Macaca fascicularis: one gene and its partners. The protein of the gene in region 2 purifies or fractionates together with the protein of the main gene of each other region. This does not show direct contact. Links are inferred from orthologs where the notes say so. Each region holds a gene or a part of one and is shown on either strand. Other genes may lie near its edges.

Region 1 (3,514 bases), on a different chromosome or scaffold from region 2:
CATCTGGATACAAGCGTATCTGTAGTTGGCAATTCTATTTCTCATTTTTGTGAGCCCTACTTAAACTCTAACAGTTGGCGGATTTAAATAGGGGACACTCAGTTGTGAAGGATAAATTCTCATGATTACTACATTCTTAATGCTTACAACAGACTTATTGTCAGAAATAACAAGGAGTTTTGCTTTCCTTCAGTATCAATTATTTTCTACTTACTTTAATATCTTGCCTATCTCCATAAAACATCCAAGAGTTGTTTGGCTAGAAGTATAACTTGCCACATAGAAAGCAAAATTAAGTTTACAGGAAAGCTTAAGAAGAGAAGCAAAACAAAAATAAAATTACTAACATTTCCCTTATTTCCTCTAAGGAGCAACTTACCCCTCGTTACAAATAAAGTGTAACTCAGCACCAAACTCGTAAGACCCATTTGCAAGGATTGCTTCACCATTTAAAGGATCCCGTATATGTGGACACATTTCTCCTAAAAGAAAATAATTTTGACGGTTTTCAATCCAGTTATAAAACAGATCTGAATCAGAATCAAAATTCTGCAGTGCTCTTTTGAATGCATGGGAATATTATTTTCTTTATTTACTTATTATAAGGGCAAATTTCAGTTTCATGTTCACCTAGGCAATCTACTGCCAGGAAAAAGATTTCTTGGAGATTTTGATTTCTCAAAGCCTGCAATAATGCATTGCTATCTTAAACCTCATTCCACAAGAAGAAAATCATTATCACCATAGTGGAATATGTACCCCAAAATGTGTGCAAATCTCTAGAGCAAGCAGGAAAAAAAAAAGGAAGGAGGGAAGAAAGGAAGGAAGGAAGGAAGGAATCTCTAGAGCAAGCAGAAAAAAAAAAAAAGGGGGCTCGTTTACTTACTATAACAGCCCTCATCTGAGACAGGTAGCCATGTATGATTCCGATCACAAATAGTATGGGTGGCAAGAGGAGGTATATAGAAGTATCCTTTCTTACACTTATAATCTACTCGTTCCCCAACCCTATAGTAGGGTTTTGGTTTACCAATGAGCTCCATAGCTTCAAATGTTGGTGGCGCCTCACAGGCATCTAGGGATAAGAGAATAGGAACATGAAGATGAAGTACTGATAGCACTTTAACGAGCCATGACTGTGGTCTGGCAGCAAGTAGTACAGAAAAAACAGAAAGGCCCTTGGCAAGATTTTAAATGATTGTTCCATGCTTTTACCTGAGTGCTGGTAGTAGTGGAGGAAATGGGACTTGCATGTTTTAAGTAACAATCCTATTAGCTTTTGGTTTCTTTGGGAATAAGCATTCACCAATAAACTGAAGAGACAGCATTAATGTCTTTGGTCTTAAAAAATATACAGACGCATCTTTCCCCACATTTTTCTAAATGCATTTCAAAAGTAACTTCTCCTCTAAGAAGTCTTCTACAGTATAGAGCACTCTGCTCAGATTGTTCTTCCATAGTTTAAAACACTAACTTATAATAGCTTGTCGCTTCAGGCTATCTTCTCTTAAAAGGCATGTTCCTGGGGTTCAAGGAACATGTTCTTCTTTTTCTACTAGACTCCACCCACCTCGTGGGTGCTCAAGAAATGCTGACACTAGGCTGGGCGCGGTGGCTCAAGCCTGTAATCCCAGCACTTTGGGAGGCCGAGACGGGCGGATCACGAGGTCAGGAGATCGAGACCATCCTGGCTGACACGGTGAAACCCCGTCTCTACTAAAAAATACAAAAACTTAGCCGGGCGAGGTGGCGGGCGCCTGTAGTCCCAGCTACTCGGGAGGCTGAGGCAGGAGAATGGCGTAAAAAACCCGGGAGGCGGAGCTTGCAGTGAGCTGAGATCCGGCCACTACACTCCAGCCTGGGCGACAGAGCTAGACTCCGTCTCAAAAAAAAAAAAAAAAAAAAAAAAAAGAAATGCTGACACTGACAAACTCTATCTGCCAATAAGTATTCAATAAATTGTCTGCTACTGTGCCTGGGGAGATCAAACAACCCTAGTTTGGATTCATGTTGTGCTAAGTCAAACAAAAGGCTCAAGCTGCCCTAAAAGGGCAGATAATAACGTGAAAGTCTGAGTTTATGATGATGAGTGTTTATTCCTGATAAGCCTGTTGCTTTTCAGAATTACTTGCCCTGTGATTTAATCCTCTTCCTTATTTCTTGCCTCTTTTGCCCTACTCTGCCACACTGAGTAGTTTGGCAGTCCAGTAGTGTCACATCCTGGTGCTGTTGCTCACCTTGCTCCCTCTGCTCTGAATACCCTTCCTCCCTGGCCAGTAGCTACAACTCCTGCTCAACTCTTATCTTCCTTAATCCACCCATCATCTCCTCCAGGAAGCATTTTCTGCCTCCCCCTGGGAAGCAGTGATCAGTCAACTTCCCCTGGAATCTCCTCCTGCATGGATCTCTCAGGTAATTATCACATGCTTTTGTGTTTAATAGTTAACATGGCCAACTCCATTCATCCATGCAGCCACAACACGCAGCACAATATGTCACTCATAGTAGCCATCCACAAAAAAATTGGTACTCAAAGTCCACTGCTGTCAAACACAAAACAATGTGAATAATATATTGTAACCAATTTCATATTGAAAACAATCATTCTACAGCACAGTGGAGAAAGAAGATTAGGCCATTTCTCGTGCTACCTATCTCCCAGTCTTCTGGTATCCTGGCAGGTGACCGGATATGGACTGCTCTCTTTGCATGGAAGTATGCCGAGTAAGCAACTGAGAAGCTACTGTGTAAGCACTTACTGATCTTGGCTTCTTTCATCGGAAATAAGGAAAACACCTAAAATAGGCAGAAGAGACCACACACAACAGGAGATTGGGGATTTTGTCCAAAAAAGCAGTTCCTCTACTGGAGGAATGAATGAGACTGGCCTGAACTTTGATACATTGTTTCCTTCAGCTATCTGGAACCATTTGGCAATTACTTTTGAGAGGGCAGGTCTCCCATGCACAGCACTGTCTGCTTACAAAACCTTCTCCTTGTGAGACTGAGTTGCTCCAAAAATTGAATGTTTATTTTAATCCATGTATTCTCTCTGCCTAACATCGTGAGTTCTCATTTTCACTTTCTCTAGGTTTCATACCTGTCTTGATTTATGCTTATGAACCTCAAATTTAACCTTGTTTTTCCTTCTCTTCATTCTTAGTTTTATCTTCCATGTTGCACCCTATTCATTTTATTTTTGTATGTTCCTCTATTTCAAATCGCATTCATCATCTTCTTCAACTTCCTGTTTTGTTTTGTGTGTGTTTGTGTTTTGTTTTGTTTGGTTTGAGACATGGTCTCTCACTCTGTCACCAAAGCTGGAGTACAATCAGGGCTCACTACAGCCTTGACCGCGGGCGCTCCAGTGATCCTCCCCCCTCAGCGTCACAAGTAGCTGGGACCACAGGCGTGCAACATCACACCTGGCTAATTTTTTTTTTAAATTTTCTGTATAGGTGGGCAAATTTTTTGTATAGGTGGGCTCTCCTTATGTTGCTCAGGCCGCACTTCT
Region 2 (4,054 bases):
GGGGGGCTCCTTTCTGTGAAAGAGGTCAGGCTACCCCAGCTGCCTTCTCCCACAGGCAAGGCCTTTTTCCTCTCTAAAATGGAACTTTTAACAAGCGCCCCATCCAGACACACATTGTCAACCTCCTCCCCACCAGCCTCCCCTGAGCCCACGGGACTGCACTGAGTCCCTCTGGGCCCTGCAGGGTTCCTGCAGCCCCTTCCCCACTGCACATCCTGCCTGCCTGGGCTGGGTTCTCTGAGGCAGGGGTCCCTTTGGACCCTTGGCCAACCCCCACACCCTGAGCCCTTCCTGTACCAAGCCCCCTGTCAACACTCAGGCATGTCAGTGAATCCACCAACAACGCCAGGAGGCAGGCTCATTGAGGGCCCCCACTGCAGACGGGGGAGGCCAAGGCCCAGGACCAGGGCAGTGTGGTGGGGACTCCACTGAGGGAGGCCCAAGCCCATGGCACTGTGCTCTCAGCCACACACCCTGCGACACCACGGTGGAGGGGGGTCCACCAGGGTGGTGCCCACCAACCTCACCTCACCCAGCCTGGCATTCCTGGCTACAACAGAGCCCCAGTGGATGGGTGGGTCCACAGTGACTGTGAACGGACTCAGTTCTCAATGCTTTGCGGGGAGCGGGCCCTGGGGAGAGGAGTGGTGAGGCCTTGGAGACATTTCCTCGAGCCTTAATAACAAGCATCCCTGGGATGCGTCAGGTCTCCACCCCAGCTGCCTGGGAAACTTCCAGGCCCGCCGTGGCGACACTCCCGGGGGACTGCCAGGGACACCTCTCAGCCTGGGCAGGCAGGAGGGACTCACCCAGCGGTGACCCAGCGGTGACGCATCGTCCAGAGAGCAAAAATCCACCTCCAGAGAAGTCCCCTTCCCTGACTCCCCTTCAGCCCCCGCCCCCAGGCCCACACTCTCCTCATCAGGGGATGGGGCTCCAGGGGCCGGCAGAGGGACATCCTGTGTCCCGTGCCTCTCCCACATGCCTGGGCTGAAGCAGGCCACCACTAAGCAACGGCCGAGGTGCCAGGGCTGTGCCTGGGGAGGGCAAGCCCCTCCCAGATGGCCTCGCTGCCCCCACTGCCAGGGCAGAGCCAAAGGCTACAGTGACTCCCACCAGTGTCCCAAGCAGACTGTGCAGAACAGTCGGTCTTGGGGAAGGTGGGATGTGACCGCCCCACTCCTCTCCCAGCTGAGAGTTCAGTTCAGCCTCTGTCCTTCCCCGTCCAAACAATCTCCCTGCCCCAGATCCGCACTGGGATCCTCACAGTCCAGATGGGAAACAGATGTCTCTGGTCCCACACACTGGCTCCGGGGCCATTTTAAAAGTTTGCCCTCCCTGCCTCAACTTGAGAAACACTCGCTCCACTGGGACATCAGCCGAGTCTTCCACGAGAAGGGGGTGACAGCCTGGGGGGACACGGGGAGGGGCTTGCGGTGTCTGCCCAGGGGCGTGGCCGCGGGGAGGTCACCATCATGGACACCCACTCCAGTCCTTCCAGGCCAAGAAGGGATTTCCACCCCCTCCCCAATTCCAACACTGACAGGAAATGGAAACAAAAGGCGAAAGCCCATCAGTCACTTCCCAGCAGCAAAGACTGCGGTCAGGAGAAAGCCATTCTCAGCAGGAGACCCTCCTCCACCCACGTTGGCACCCAAAGATGCCCAGCGTGGGGGCCCCTCTTTCCAAAGCAGCGGCCCCACTCCCAGACCCTGCCATCCACTCCAGGCCCCTGGTGCCACTCTCTTCCTTGTGCCAACTCAGAACCGCGGGACCCCACTCCTGCAAGGCCTCCAGAGCCCTTCTGGGAGGAGGCCTAGGCTGGAACGTGTCTGGGTGAGGAGAGGGAGATCGGCCCCCAGACAGGACAGCCAGGGTGCGCGCACCCCAGCTTTTGGGCCATCCCAGCGGTGACATCCTTTTAGGCGCGACCCCCGGGAAGGTCCCGGGTGGTGACAGCAGACTGGCGAGTTAGCTGGGCTGGGGAGAGAGTGAGGCGATCGCCCCCAACCTCGGGCAAAGTGTGCGCCCCCGCCCCACCATCCAGGGGCGGCGGCCCTTGATGAGCTCATGGGGGCGGGGCGCCAGGAGTCCCGCCCGCGAGCCCCCCCTTCGTCCCCGCGAAGCAGCAGTCCGGAATCCGCGGCCAGGGACCCGCGCAGGCCCCTCCTCAGCTGAGGGGCGGCCGGGTACTCGGGTCCCGGCCCGCGCCCACCGCACCCATCACTATCACTTAGCGGGAACTGCCCGGCGGCCCCCAGAAGCCCCGGCCCGGCCGCAGAGCTGGGCCCCCGCGCACAGAGGCCCCGAAACTCGGCTCGCAGCCCTCAGCCCCAAAGTTGGGGGGCGCGGCGGCCCCGGGCGACCCCCCACCCCGCTCCTGGAGCCCACAGGTGGCCCCACAACTTCGCGGCCCGCGCTGCGCCCGCGGGGCCTAGCACGCGGCCGCGGGACCTGCCCGAGGTGGGGTGTGTGCCCGTCCCCTCCCGCCCTGGCCCCCGGCCCAGCCCTTACCCAGAAGACGAAATTGAAGACGAAGAGCAGGTACTTGATGCACTTGGTACACCCCTCCACTCCCATGGCGACGCGGGCGGCGGGCGGCCTGCGGGGCGCGGGCCGGTCCTGGGAGGCGGGCGGGCCGGCGCGGGGCCTGGCGGGCAGCCGGCAAGGGGGCCTGGCGGGCCTAGGGGCCTCGGTGCGAAGAACGGGGCGCGGGGGCGCAGGGGCGCGGGGGGCGCGGGGCGCCGGAGGCCTGGCCGGATGCGCGGTGGGGTCGCCGCTATCTCCGCCGCTGCGCGCTCGCTCTGTGGCCGGGCGCGCGCCGCGCTCAGCACCACTTATAGGACGCCTCGGTCCCGCCCCCCGTAGGCCCCGCCCCGGCCAGCTCGCGCCCCGCCTCCGGCCCCGCCTCCCGTCGCCAGGGCGCGCATCGGAGGGGTATGGGGGCGCTGCACCTACCCCCAACTTGGCGCGTTTCGGCCAGGACCTCAGGGCCCGGGTGCACCGTGCTGGGCGCGGGAGGCGTCCCTAAGCTGCTGTCGCGCTCCGAGCCCCCGAGGGGGTGGCAGCAGGGCCGCGCCTGAGGACGGGCATGCAGCGTCTACCCAGGAGTGCAGGCCCGGTGCCGGGAGAACAACCTATTCCTCCCTCCCTCAAGCACCTTGGACAATCTGGGAGGGCTCCCCAAAGGAGGTGAGCACCTTGGACAATCTGGGAGGGCTCCCTAAAGGAGGTGATGCCACAGTGGTTGGCTTTGCAGAGACAGGAGGGTTTGCTCACATTGCTCTCCGGGGCTGGAACGGGGCAGGCATGAGGCCCCCTAGTCAGTGTTGGCCTCAAGTACAGGCAACCAATCCCTGTCCCATGGAAGGGAAGAATTGCTGACCCATGCTGCAGGAGTCTGCATCTGAAAAGGTCACTGGGCCCTGAGAGGGCAGCTCCCAGACCAGTGTGAAGTGTCCAGGAGGCCAGAGCCACCTATAAGAGAACCTCCAGATATTGCATCTATTTCATCCACATCCTGGTTGTGTCGTGCCCCAGGGATGCCAGCCTCACGCTGTGGCTCTTCCTGTAGGTGTGGGGCCAGGCCCGCTGCACTTACTGCTTTGGGCTAATGATTCAGAGTGAGGGGTGCTTCCTGCCCAGAGGAAGGAGTGAAGGCCTTCGCAGGAGATGACACACCGACAAAGGTTTCCCATGTCCTCTCCAAGAAAATTGATGGACAACAGGGCTGCGTCGTGGGCGGGAGCTTACCTGGGAACCATGTGGAACCAGGTCCGGAGAACCGTGCTCTAGCTAGCTCGTCTTAGCAAATGTCGTCCAATCCAGTGCTAACTGATAGAACCTTCTGCAATGATGGGAATGTTCTGTAGCTGGATAACCCCTGGCACAAATGACTACTGGGTACTGGAAATGTGGCCACAAGGAACCGAATTTTTCATTGCGTTTCATTGTAATTTAAATTCACGGCCGGGCGCGGTGGCTCACGCCTGTAATCCCAGCACTTTGGGAGGCCGAGGCGGGCGGATCACAAGGTCAGGAGATCGAGACCACG
Region 3 (2,396 bases), on a different chromosome or scaffold from region 2:
GGCCGTCATGCTGCATACTCTGTAGGTTGGGAGATGGCACCTGCGGGGGCACCTGGGCCTGGCCGCCTGGTAGCCCAGCTGGACACAGAGGGTGTGGGCAGCCTGGGCCCTGGCTATGAGGGCCGACACATTGCCATGGAGAAGGTGGCATCCAGAACATACCGGCTGCGGCTAGAGGCTGCCAGGCCTGGTGATGCGGGCACCTACCGCTGCCTCGCCAAAGCCTATGTTCGGGGGTCTGGGACCCGGCTTCGTGAAGCAGCCAGTGCCCGTTCCCGGCCTCTCCCTGTGCACGTGCGGGAGGAAGGTGAGAGGGGGCTGGGCCCTGGACAGGGTTTGAGGATTGTCAACCCCTTTTCCTTCTGTTTCCATGCCCCCCTCCCTCTCCATCAGCTGCTTGCATGCCACAGCCTCACGCTCCTCTTCTCCCAATATTGTGGGAATACCCTGAGTTTCCCGCGGCGGTGCTTGGCAGCAGCTCTGACCCCATGCTCCCTGGCCCTGCACCCTCTGACCCCATGTCCTTTGTTCCGCAGGCGTGGTGCTGGAGGCTGTGGCGTGGCTAGCAGGAGGCACAGTGTACCGGGGGGAGACTGCCTCCCTGCTGTGCAACATCTCTGTGCGGGGTGGCCCCCCAGGACTGCGGCTGGCCGCCAGCTGGTGGGTGGAGCGACCAGAGGACGGAGAGCTCAGCTCTGTCCCTGCCCAGCTGGTGGGTGGCGTGGGCCAGGATGGTGTGGCAGAGCTGGGAGTCCGGCCTGGAGGAGGCCCTGTCAGCGTAGAGCTGGTGGGGCCCCGAAGCCATCGGCTGAGACTGCACAGCTTGGGGCCCGAGGATGAAGGCGTGTACCACTGTGCCCCCAGCGCCTGGGTGCAGCATGCTGACTACAGCTGGTACCAGGCGGGCAGTGCCCGCTCAGGGCCTGTTACAGTCTACCCCTACATGCATGGTAAGTGACACCCCTCCACCCTCTTCGCTCTGCCTTCCTGCCGGCCCCTGCTGCCGGCCTTCCCTTCCCATCTTCTCACCCTCCTGCTACTATCTCTCTCCTCCACATCCTGTCACATGAAGTCTCAAAAAATCCAACTTCCAGCCCTGCAGTGCCCACCTGCATGGGGTCCTCTGTGGTTGATGCTGACTTGCATGCTGAGAGGGCAGGCTGTGGGCAGGGATGGGGTGCCTGTGAATGGAGAAGGTGGGTTCAGAGAACTTGATGGGGAACGTGTAGAGGCAAGTGTGATGGGTGGAGGATGATGGCATCCTCTCTGAACAGTCATACTCTCTCCCCCAGCCCTGGACACCCTGTTGGTGCCTCTGCTGGTGGGTACAGGCGTGGCCCTAGTCACTGGTGCCACTGTCCTTGGTACCATCACTTGCTGCTTCATGAAGAGGCTTCGAAAACGGTGATCTCTTACTCCCCAGGTGAGGGAAAAGAACCCCCCAACCTTGCTTTCACTGGGCTTCCCACCACCAAGTCCTGAACCAAGCTGCTCCCTTCCAGGCCCCACCTGGAGGAGGAGTAGGCAGCTCAGATCCACAGGGCCCTGTTAAGGGGTGGAGGCCACGAGGGAGCCCCACGCAGGGCTCTCTGTCCTTAGCTCACACTGGGTGCCCTTTTCAGGTCTTGCAGGTGTTGACTGTCTTCCGGCCCAGCTCCAAGCCCTCCTCTGGTTGCCTGGACACCCTCTCCCTCTGTCCACTCTTCCTTTAATTTATTTGACTTCCCACTACCCAGAATGGGAGACATGCCTCCCCTTCCCCACTCCTTCCCTCCCAAGCCCCTCCCTCTGGCCTTCTGTTCTTGATCTCACAGGGATCCTATAGGGAGGCCATTCCCCATCCTGGAATTAGTTTTTCTAAAAGGTGAATAAACTGGTTTTATAAAAAGCAGGCTTGGCTGTGTCTTCCCTACCATGAGACTGTAAAAGGCTCAGGGTGCACAGTAGGGAGGTGGTTGGGGGTTGACAACCTATTCTGGACGACCCAGGCCTCTCTTCCCACCACAAACACCATCTGGCCTCCGCGGGCCATGCCACCTACCCCAGGAGGGGACACCTGGGTTCCATCTGCTGCCTGAACTGTCAGGGCTGAGACAACTCCTGACTGGACTCCTACTTGGGGAGGGAAGCATAGAAAAGGAGGGTAGGTTCCAGCTGCATGTGGTCCCCCCTCCCCAGCTTCTCCCATGTTAAAGGGCATGGGCCTCTAGGGGCAGTGCCTTTTCTGAGCTCCCCAGACTTTCCCCCACTCTTCTTACTCTCCTGGTCAGGCTAGTCTTGGACCTGAGTCCTCCCACTAGACCCTGGGGCTGCAATTCTTGTTCCTTCTGACTGACAGCAGCAGAATAGAAGCCTCAGAACACAACTGATACTCAGGCTGGGACAACAGGCAGTCA
Region 4 (4,142 bases), on a different chromosome or scaffold from region 2:
TGTTACATACTCAGAAAGTTAAGTTCTCGGAACTTGAAAGCTCTCTGAAACTTTTACAAGATGTTTCAGCTTATCACACTAGCAGCATGGTTAAGGGCAAACCAGAGCAGCTACAGAATATTAATGAATATTTTTTTCGGACAGAACACTGTACTACTCCCTGCTGTAAGCCACAACTTACTTATCAAGAAGTCAAACAATAAAGACATTAAAATCAGTGGCAAGCACTCTTAGAAAAACTGGCACCATGTTGTTTGACCACTTTTCATTATTATAGTATGACCATTTGTCCCCAGTGTCACTCCCAGAGTTAGGAAGAACACCAATGTAGAACTACATTTTCATTCGTGATGGTAATTTGGGGCTGATTTAAATTAAATTATACTGACCAGAAAGCTAAGAAGAAAGCTGCCTAATTGTTAAAATTACTAAATGCAGTGACTTTCAGAATTGTTGATTCCATGCATTTCATGTACAGAATGTTGAAGGTATTCAAAAATAACTTTAATACAGAACTTTACATTGTTAGGAAAATCACATAAAATTGTAGGTCTAGGTCTGAAGTCAACATAGATGAGTTAAACAGTCTATTTGCTTCCTTTTTACACAATTAAACTATTAACCACATTCTTTGTCCTTTTAGCTAGTATTCTAATAACATCTTCCACCTTCATACTCAATTTTGGGGTAAGTAAAATGGCTTTCCCCCCAAATGCCTGTAATCAAAATACCAATGTTTTTTATTTAACACTTCACCATCTTCAGTCACTTATATAATATTGATCAATGAGCCAACATTATTTAAAAATATGAGAATTACAGTGAGACTCTAAGTCCTGACCCCTCTGGGCCTTGATGTCCACAAATGAACAGGTAACTGCCAACTAAAGTTCCTTAATCATTTCTAAAAGTGGCCTATTGTATACCCTATCGTAAAGGGCATATGTGGTTTAAGAAAGATGTCTAAATTCCTCTAGAACGTTATTTTTGTAGCATCAGAAGTACAATAAGAAAAATAATAATAACCTAAGGGCCAGGCTCAGGGGGCTCAAGTCTGTAATCCCAACACTTTGGGAGCTCTAGGAGAGAGGACTGCTTGAGCCTAGGAGTTTGAGGCCAGCCTGGGCAGCATAGTGAAATCCTGTCTCTACAAAAAATTAAAAAATTAGCCGGGCATGGTGGCAGGCGCCTGTCGTTCCAGCTACTCAGGTGGCTGAGGTGGAAAAATAACTTAAGCACGAGAGGCTGAGGCTGCAGTGAGCTGTGATAGCTCCTCTGCACTCCAGCCTGGGCGACAGAGACCCTGTCTCAAAACAAAACAAAATAACCTAGCAATTCTATCCACCTGTTATCCATGTGGCACGTTGGCCCAAAGAAACCTTACTAATGATGTTACCAATTACCTTCCGAGAAATCTTTTTACTATAAAAGAAGGGCTGAAAAGCAGTCAATATTCATTGAGCATCTACTCTCAAGCTAAGTGTTTTACATTTTGCATTTGATTTTCACGACTATAGTTAGGAAGGTTACTTTTGGTTTAAACGTAGGCTCTGGAGCTAGACCCCATGCCTTCTCCAGGAGCTCCCGATGACCATATGCAACTTACTTTTTGCTCCCTGTGCCTCCGTTTCTTCACTCGGAAAATGGAAATAGAAACAGTAGCAATCTCATTAGAGCAGTTCCAGAATTAAATAATACACATGAAATGCCTAGAGCTAAACCTGGCCCTCGCTGTCATTGTTATAAAAATGAATTATTAGTGTAGGTAGTATTGTTCCTATTTCACAGATGAGGAAACGGAAGCTTAGAGAATGCAATTTACTAATGATCATACCAATGAGTGCAAAGCTTTGGACTTAAAAGCACGAATTTGATTAAATGAAAGTTACTTAGAGAGTGGGAGTCTCATAAATCCAATTTATGAAGCCTAAGAAATGACACGCGGTAAAAATGATACTAGACACAGGACGGGCTCTCAGGCTCGCGGACCGGGTCTGAGCGCAAAGTGGCCGTGGCCCTGTGTCCTGGTCCCGGGGTGCCCGGCAGGGGCCGGCGACTCTTGACTTCCCGGCATTCGCGTTTATAAACACCGGGAAGTGAACTGCACTGCCGCCGCCGCGCCCCCGGTCCCCAGCGGCTCCGCGAGGCCACTTTCTATCCCGGCTCCAGTCGGAGAAGACCAGTCCCAACAGCGGGCGCCGACGGCCGGCTCGACGCTGCTCCAAAAACAGCAGCCAGCGAGGGAGCGAGAGACAAAGGCGCAGGACCAGTCCAGGGGCGCGCTGAGTCCTAAACGCCGAGCCCCGGGTGGCCTCGCTGGCTCCCACCTGCGCTCGCCCAGCCTGGCGGGAGACCGCAGGTGTCAGGAGCCGCTCAGGCCCGGTCCTCCGCAGCTCCAGCAGCCCCGACGTGACAGCGCCCAGGCCCGCGACCCTAGCGCTCGGAACGCGGCTGGGCCGACTCGGCGCCCGGACGCTGCCAGCGCCTGGGACCCGAGGGGGGTGGCGGTGTGCGGACTTCCTCCCGGACTAGCCTGGAATCCCGCCCCAGCCCCCACCGGCCCGCGGCCGCCCCCGCCCCCGCCCCCACGCCTGGCACAAAGGTCCCGGCGCGGCCCGGGCCGGCGGCTGTTAAGTGCTGTTGCGCACCGCAGACCCGAGGCCGCGGCCCGCACCCCCACACCCGAGGCCCGCCGGCGCCTACCTTCTCCGCGCGGCGTCCGGGCCCCGGCGCGGTGGGCTCCGGCCTGCTGTTCCGCGACTCCCGCTCGGCCTCTCCTGCGGGCTGGCGGGGCCTCCCGAGTCTCGGGCGCGGCGGGTGGCGGCGGCTCCTCCTCCTCAGGGGCGGGAGGAGGGGACTCGGCGGCCCAGAGCCGCCCCCCGGCAGGAAACCAGCCGCGGCCCCGCCTCCTCTGCGCGTCTGATCCCGCTCCCGAGGCCGCCACCGCCCTCTCCCTCCGGAAACGCATTCCTCTCCCGCCGCGTCAGCCCGGCCCCGGGGCGAGGAGGAGGCGCAGGAGGAGGCAGGAAGCGCGACCGGGACAAAGGAACTGGCCCGCTCGGGAGCGCGCCTGAGGGAGGCCGTGGAGGGCAGGGCCGGGACTCCGCTGAGACAGTCGCCATGCCTCAGTTTCCTCCTCTGTGAAGGGCGGGAGGGGTCGGTTGCGCCCTAAAGCCCCGCGCGTTCCTGGTGTAGCCTGCTGGGCCCGTGTTCTTTAAGTTCCGCTTCCTCGGATCCGCGTGTCCGACCCTCCCTCCCGTTTGTCCACTGATGTCCCGTTGAGAGCCCGGGAGGTCCTGCATCCCGGAAGCCCCCTCAGTCCCGAGGCAAATCGGTACCATGAACCCCCCCATACCCTGCAGGACTCCATGGGGCCAAAAACCACGTGGTCATTCTGGAAGGGAACTGGCTAAGCCAGGACTGCTTTTCTGGAGTGATAATGTGCTAGCGTGTGTCTAAGAGAAAGGTGAAGACTTGGGAAACCCGTGGGTGCCACGAAGGGTGGTGGGACTGGGGAACGTTTTAGAAAACCTGGTGAGTTGGGTCCTGCTTTTGATAGATTTATCTGGAGGTCCCTTTATGGGGAACAGGGATGAGAAGGAAAAGTTTCTTCCTACGGAGTAGAGTTTCTGTTTCAAACCTCTTTAAAAAAGAAAAAAAAAAAGGAGATGGGGGCTGGAAACAGAACGTTTGAAAGAGAAGGAAACATTCATTATGAGAATGGCTGGGCGCATGTCGATTCGATGATTGAAGTTCGTACCAACCAACATCATACTGAAACCCAGTAATTTCAGTATACGCTGCTGGCAAGCTGCTATCCTGGTAGCAGAAAATGTTGTAGGTTCCACTTGGTGAGCTGCAGCACCCTGTTGGGAAAAGAGCTCAAAAATTACCAGATTTATGAAACTGAGAAGAATCTTGCAGGAGATGAGGGGCTGGAACGCCCATTTGGCTGCTGCCAATCTAAAATATAAGAGAAAATGAGGCGATCACATCTAAGAAAATTTGCACATTACTTACCAGCAAAATCAAAACTATTGGTTAGCCAATGTCTGCAGACCTCTAGGAAATAAGCACTATTTTTCCCGCTTAATGGATGTTCAAGCTTAAGAGGCTAAATGATGTTCCTATGTTAATATCTC
Region 5 (4,284 bases), on a different chromosome or scaffold from region 2:
GTGGGAGCCCCAAAAATGATCATTTAGGAAAAGGATGAGCTTAAAAGGGAGGCTGGAGGAAATAACCAACCACGAAGACACCAATTGTGTGGGAAACAATTGGGACCTGGGCTAAGACAGTAGCCGTAGAAACAGGAAGGAAAGGAAGAAGCTGGAGTCTGTGCTATGGGGAGACGCAAGAATTGAGAGACTATGTGAATGTGGAGGTCAAAAAGAGCAGTGATACCAAGATTATACTCAGGTTACTCCCTAGGAGGAAAGATGATCTTGCTTATCAATGTATTACATTTCAGGGATCAGTACAGTGCTAGAGTAGTGTAACACAGGGAGACCTTCCCAGAGGTCAGGCTGAAGTCACGCCAAGTGAGATTCTGTGGCAGCAGAGTTATCAGGAGGGTCATCAATGGTTCAGAGAACTGTCAGGTAAAAAGGCACCGGCTAGTGACACCACAGAAATTCCCAGTGTAATTCATAGGAGGCATCCAGCCAGGACAGGATATGCTGGAGTACAATCAAGATTTCCCCAAGCTGTGCTTTCCCCACTTCTATTTTGCTTTTGTCAGTCTCTCTTTGCCCCCTTCCCTCTTCCCCCCTCATTATGATTACTCAAGGGCATTGTTTTCAAAGTTTTCAAAGTTCTACCTCATCCCACCCTCATAACTGGTACCCAGGTTGTTCAAAGAACTGCACAACTCTAGGGGGAGTCATTCACACAGACTACAAAGTGAACAGCAGCTCCCGAAGTTGCACAGTGCACAATCTGTGCAAACCCAGGCCACGGCCCTGCTTGACCTAGACACACACAGTCAATAAAAATTGTGTGTGGACTATAACAGCAGTGCACCACTAACATACAACTTACAAGGGTCCCGCAGTGAAAAGTAAAGATTAAAAGCACTACCACCGGGTGTGGTGGAGCATGCCTGTAATCCCAGCACTTCAGGAGGCTCAGGTGGGAGAGTCAATTGAGCCCAGGAGTTTGAGGCTTCAGTGAGCTATGGTTGTGCTACTGAACTCCAGACTGGGTGACAGAGTGAGGCTTTGTTTCAAAAATAAAAACAAAGCACTAGGATCAGGGACTATAGAAAAGATGCCATAAAACTAAGTGGAAGATCTGGAAGCTTTCTGCACATGGGCTGAAGCTGAAGCAATGTGGCTGGACGAGCTCTCTGAGGGAGTCAGTTCAGAAAATCTCTTCAAGGTGAAGGAAGAAAACACAGAAGCTAGCAAGGCTGGTTTACCAGCAGCAGGAGTCACGGGGCTTAGAGCAGTGTGGGCCCCCGGTGTCCCCAGTAGGGGAGTGGCTATAGAAGGCCTTCTCTGGGACCCTCCGACCATAAGTGCAGAGTAGTCATTTGCGCTGTGTGCAGCTGGGACCTGGATGGGACGGACACCGCACACCATGCGCTCTGTAAAAGACTCAGATCTGCCTTCTCTAGGGGCTTGGAAGAGAACCCCAGGCCGGGTCATAAGAATCATCTTGTCCTGGTTGACACTGACCACAAGGATCCAAGAATATCAAAGCATTTAAGAGTCGGCCCTGGGGTACCATGGTGGGCACTTAATAAACATATTTCCGTGGCTGGCTAGGATCACCATGTGGATCTACGTGAAGATGGTGTCTGTGTATGGAGTGAATGGAAAATGGAGAGGGAAAAAACCCACAAAAGATTCCTTGGGTGGGGGGAGGGCGCTGGGCCAAAACCTCACGGGGCACCGAGGGTTTCCGGAGGGTGGAAGATGAGGGGACAGTAAGGGAGGAAAAGTAACAGGTAGAAAAAGTTGGAGAAGCCAGGCTCTTAGGTCTTTGTGTATAAATACGCAGCTAGGCAGCTTCAAGAAAAGCTAAAAGAAAAGACTGAGGCAGACAATCTAGCCACGACGAAAATGACGGCAGGACTCGCCCGCCGATTTCCATTGTAACGCTCCGGGCCACCCTGTGACCTTCGTGGAAGGAAGTTGGAGGATTCTCTCGCTTCCCTGGAAAGGCAACTCCGCGCGGGCTGGGCGAAGAGAGACCCGGCCGGCGGCGGCTATGGCGGGGCATATCAAAGGCTCACATTTCCGCTCTCGAGCGGGGGACCCGGGCCGGGACCGCAGCACCTTCCGGGCCGGGAGTTCAAGGTGAGCCGGGCTCCCGGCGGCCAACAGGTAGGGAGGGCTGGGGAAAGCCGGCCCGGGCCACTCCCCCCGGCACATGTTGGGGGCGAGGCTCGGCCTGGCGGAGCCGCCACTTGCACCCTGCGCGCGGGGCCCGGGCTGATTCGCGCCAGGCTCCGGGCGGCCCCGCGGCCGCTCCCCGCCGGGCCAAGCAGCCCGCGCACCCCGGCCGGGTTTCCCGGGAGCAGCCCGGGCACCCTCAGTGACCCAGGCCGCGCGCTGCAGCCGCGCCCCGCCGAGCCCTCCAGGGCCCTGCCAGACCCCCTGCGCCCAGCTGAGCCCCGCGCACACTCACCCAGCGACAGGAGCGCCAGCAGCAGCGGCCTCGGCGCCAGGCGCCCCATGCTCGCCCGGCGGGAGCGACTCTCCCCCTCCTCCTCCTTCCCCGCCGCCTCTCCTCCTCCTCCTCCTCCAGCTCCGGCTGCTCCAGAGTCGGCGCTCCTCCGCCTGGGCCGCGCGCCTGCTCCGCTCTCCTCGCGAGCCGATAAATCCCAGCGCTGGGGCGTACGTGCGCCCCTGGCTCCGCTCGCTCCCTCCCGCCTCCTTCCCTCCCTCCTCCAGCCGGCCGGGCCCGGGAGCCGGCCCCGCCGATCCGAGTGTGCAGCCCCGACCGCTTCCCGAAAGCAGAAGGGAAGAACCGCAGCGCCCGCCCGCCCGCGCCTCCCATCCGGCGCTTTGCCAGCAACAAACACAAACTTTCCCAAGCCCCTCCCCGCTCCAGGTAACGGAGGAAGCGCAGGGGCCACCCGCTTAAAGGCGAGGAGGCGTCGGAGCCCACCCTGCCTTCCCCTCTAGGCCCCCACCCCACGAGAAACTTTCCTCCGACCTTTAAAAGTTGGCCTGGGAAAGACTCGTCTGGAAATCCCTTCGCTTTAGCCCTATCCCGGGACACCCCGCGTTCCATCACGCTGGAGTCACCCACGCGTGTCTAGTCTATCCTCAATCAACTGCCCGCTCGTTCGGCCTCTCGTCCTGAGCTAAACACCCCAGCAACCAGCCGCTTGGCCTATGCCAAAAATTACGCAGATGGGAGCGAAGGAGCTGAAAGGACTTTTGAAGGCCACGGATTCCAACGTCTACCATACAGAGGCCTTAAGTGTTTCGGTGAGGTGCCCAAGGATTCACAGGGAAGGGGCAAAATCAGAACCCCGCTGTCCTGACTGCCCACTCCCCGGTGATTTGGGTGGGCCTGCCTCCTCCTTACCCAGCACCCTCCCTCTCCTCAGCGCCTGTGGCACTGATTAGAACAGCTCCACACAAAGACACCCATTTAAAAAACAAACGAAACCCAAGTGTATTAATAGCTATAGTACTTCATATAGAATGTACTGTTAAGACTTCATATTTCTTGCTCTAAGTGGACACCACTGGTTGCCAATAAAGACTCATACTTCCCCCCACAATAGAGTTTTGTGCTTTTGATTTGAATACAAAAGGCCCCACGGGTATTGGGAGAAAGGGAGCATTCCTTGCTTGAAACTTAGCAAGCATGATTCAGACACGCAAGGAGCAGGACTGGTGCCCACTGCCCCTCACTGGGCTTTCATTCACATGTGGAAAACGGATCACAGATGCTTATGCGGAAACTGCCCACACTCACACAGGGGAAGAACACTACTTTTACTCTCATGCATCCGTGTTTCAACCAACAAATGTTTCTTATTTCCACTATCAAATGTGTGATTAGCCAGGTATGAACCCTTTGGAAAGAGTCTTAAAAATTCATTCCTGGTGGTGCAACGTTATTGTACTTAATGGCACTGAATGGTACATTTAGAAATGTTTAAAATTGCTAGGCATGGTAACTGGTACCTGTAATGCTAGCTACTCAGAAGACTGAAGTTGGGGGCGGGGGCGGGGGTAGAGGGAGGCCGGGAGCGGGGGCAAGGATGGTGTTGCTTGAAACCAGGAGTTTTTATTTGTTTTGTCTTTTTTCTTATTTCATTTTTGAGACAGTATCTCGATCTGTCACCCAGGCTGAAGTGCAGTGCTGCGATCAGGAATCACTGCCGCCTTGACATCCCAGGCTCAAGCAATCCTCCCACCTCCACCTCTCAATAGCTGGGACCACATATGTGTGCCACCACACTCTAGCTAATTGTTTCTATTTTTTTGTAGACACTG

What was found.
Region 1: the proteins of CD81 (region 2) and CD46 purify together in Homo sapiens (co-immunoprecipitation; 3 studies listed by BioGRID and IntAct, with this or other methods). This does not show direct contact. The link is inferred for Macaca fascicularis from reciprocal best matches to the Homo sapiens genes CD81 and CD46.
Region 3: the proteins of CD81 (region 2) and IGSF8 purify together in Homo sapiens (co-immunoprecipitation; 3 studies listed by BioGRID and IntAct, with this or other methods). This does not show direct contact. The link is inferred for Macaca fascicularis from reciprocal best matches to the Homo sapiens genes CD81 and IGSF8.
Region 4: the proteins of CD81 (region 2) and ITGB1 purify together in Homo sapiens (affinity purification with western blotting; 4 studies listed by BioGRID and IntAct, with this or other methods). This does not show direct contact. The link is inferred for Macaca fascicularis from reciprocal best matches to the Homo sapiens genes CD81 and ITGB1.
Region 5: the proteins of CD81 (region 2) and PTGFRN purify together in Homo sapiens (co-immunoprecipitation; 7 studies listed by BioGRID and IntAct, with this or other methods). This does not show direct contact. The link is inferred for Macaca fascicularis from reciprocal best matches to the Homo sapiens genes CD81 and PTGFRN.

The regions. Positions count from the first base shown.
Region 1 is NC_088375.1:65,575,638-65,579,151, reverse strand, and holds part of CD46 (membrane cofactor protein), read right to left. Parts: intron 1,076-3,514; coding exon 887-1,075; intron 483-886; coding exon 380-482; intron 1-379. UniProt on the Homo sapiens protein: Acts as a cofactor for complement factor I, a serine protease which protects autologous cells against complement-mediated injury by cleaving C3b and C4b deposited on host tissue.
Region 2 is NC_088388.1:2,297,052-2,301,105, reverse strand, and holds the start of CD81 (CD81 antigen), read right to left. Parts: upstream 2,813-4,054; 5' UTR 2,581-2,812; coding exon 2,515-2,580; intron 1-2,514. UniProt on the Homo sapiens protein: Structural component of specialized membrane microdomains known as tetraspanin-enriched microdomains (TERMs), which act as platforms for receptor clustering and signaling.
Region 3 is NC_088375.1:100,965,659-100,968,054, forward strand, and holds the end of IGSF8 (immunoglobulin superfamily member 8), read left to right. Parts: coding exon 1-307; exon of another isoform or gene 308-536; coding exon 537-950; exon of another isoform or gene 951-1,025; coding exon of another isoform or gene 1,026-1,181; intron 1,182-1,292; coding exon 1,293-1,408; 3' UTR 1,409-1,423; intron 1,424-1,622; 3' UTR 1,623-1,888; downstream 1,889-2,396. Other genes in the region: KCNJ9 (G protein-activated inward rectifier potassium channel 3), read right to left, coding at 1,026-1,181. UniProt on the Homo sapiens protein: Member of the immunoglobulin superfamily (IgSF) that links tetraspanin-enriched microdomains to the actin cytoskeleton and plays several important roles in innate and adaptive immunity.
Region 4 is NC_088383.1:33,709,443-33,713,584, forward strand, and holds the start of ITGB1 (integrin beta-1), read right to left. Parts: upstream 2,807-4,142; 5' UTR 2,704-2,806; intron 2,531-2,703; exon of another isoform or gene 1,607-2,530; intron 1-1,606.
Region 5 is NC_088375.1:117,488,374-117,492,657, forward strand, and holds the start of PTGFRN (prostaglandin F2 receptor negative regulator), read right to left. Parts: upstream 2,802-4,284; 5' UTR 2,505-2,801; coding exon 2,456-2,504; intron 2,125-2,455; exon of another isoform or gene 1,962-2,124; intron 1-1,961. UniProt on the Homo sapiens protein: Inhibits the binding of prostaglandin F2-alpha (PGF2-alpha) to its specific FP receptor, by decreasing the receptor number rather than the affinity constant. Functional coupling with the prostaglandin F2-alpha receptor seems to occur.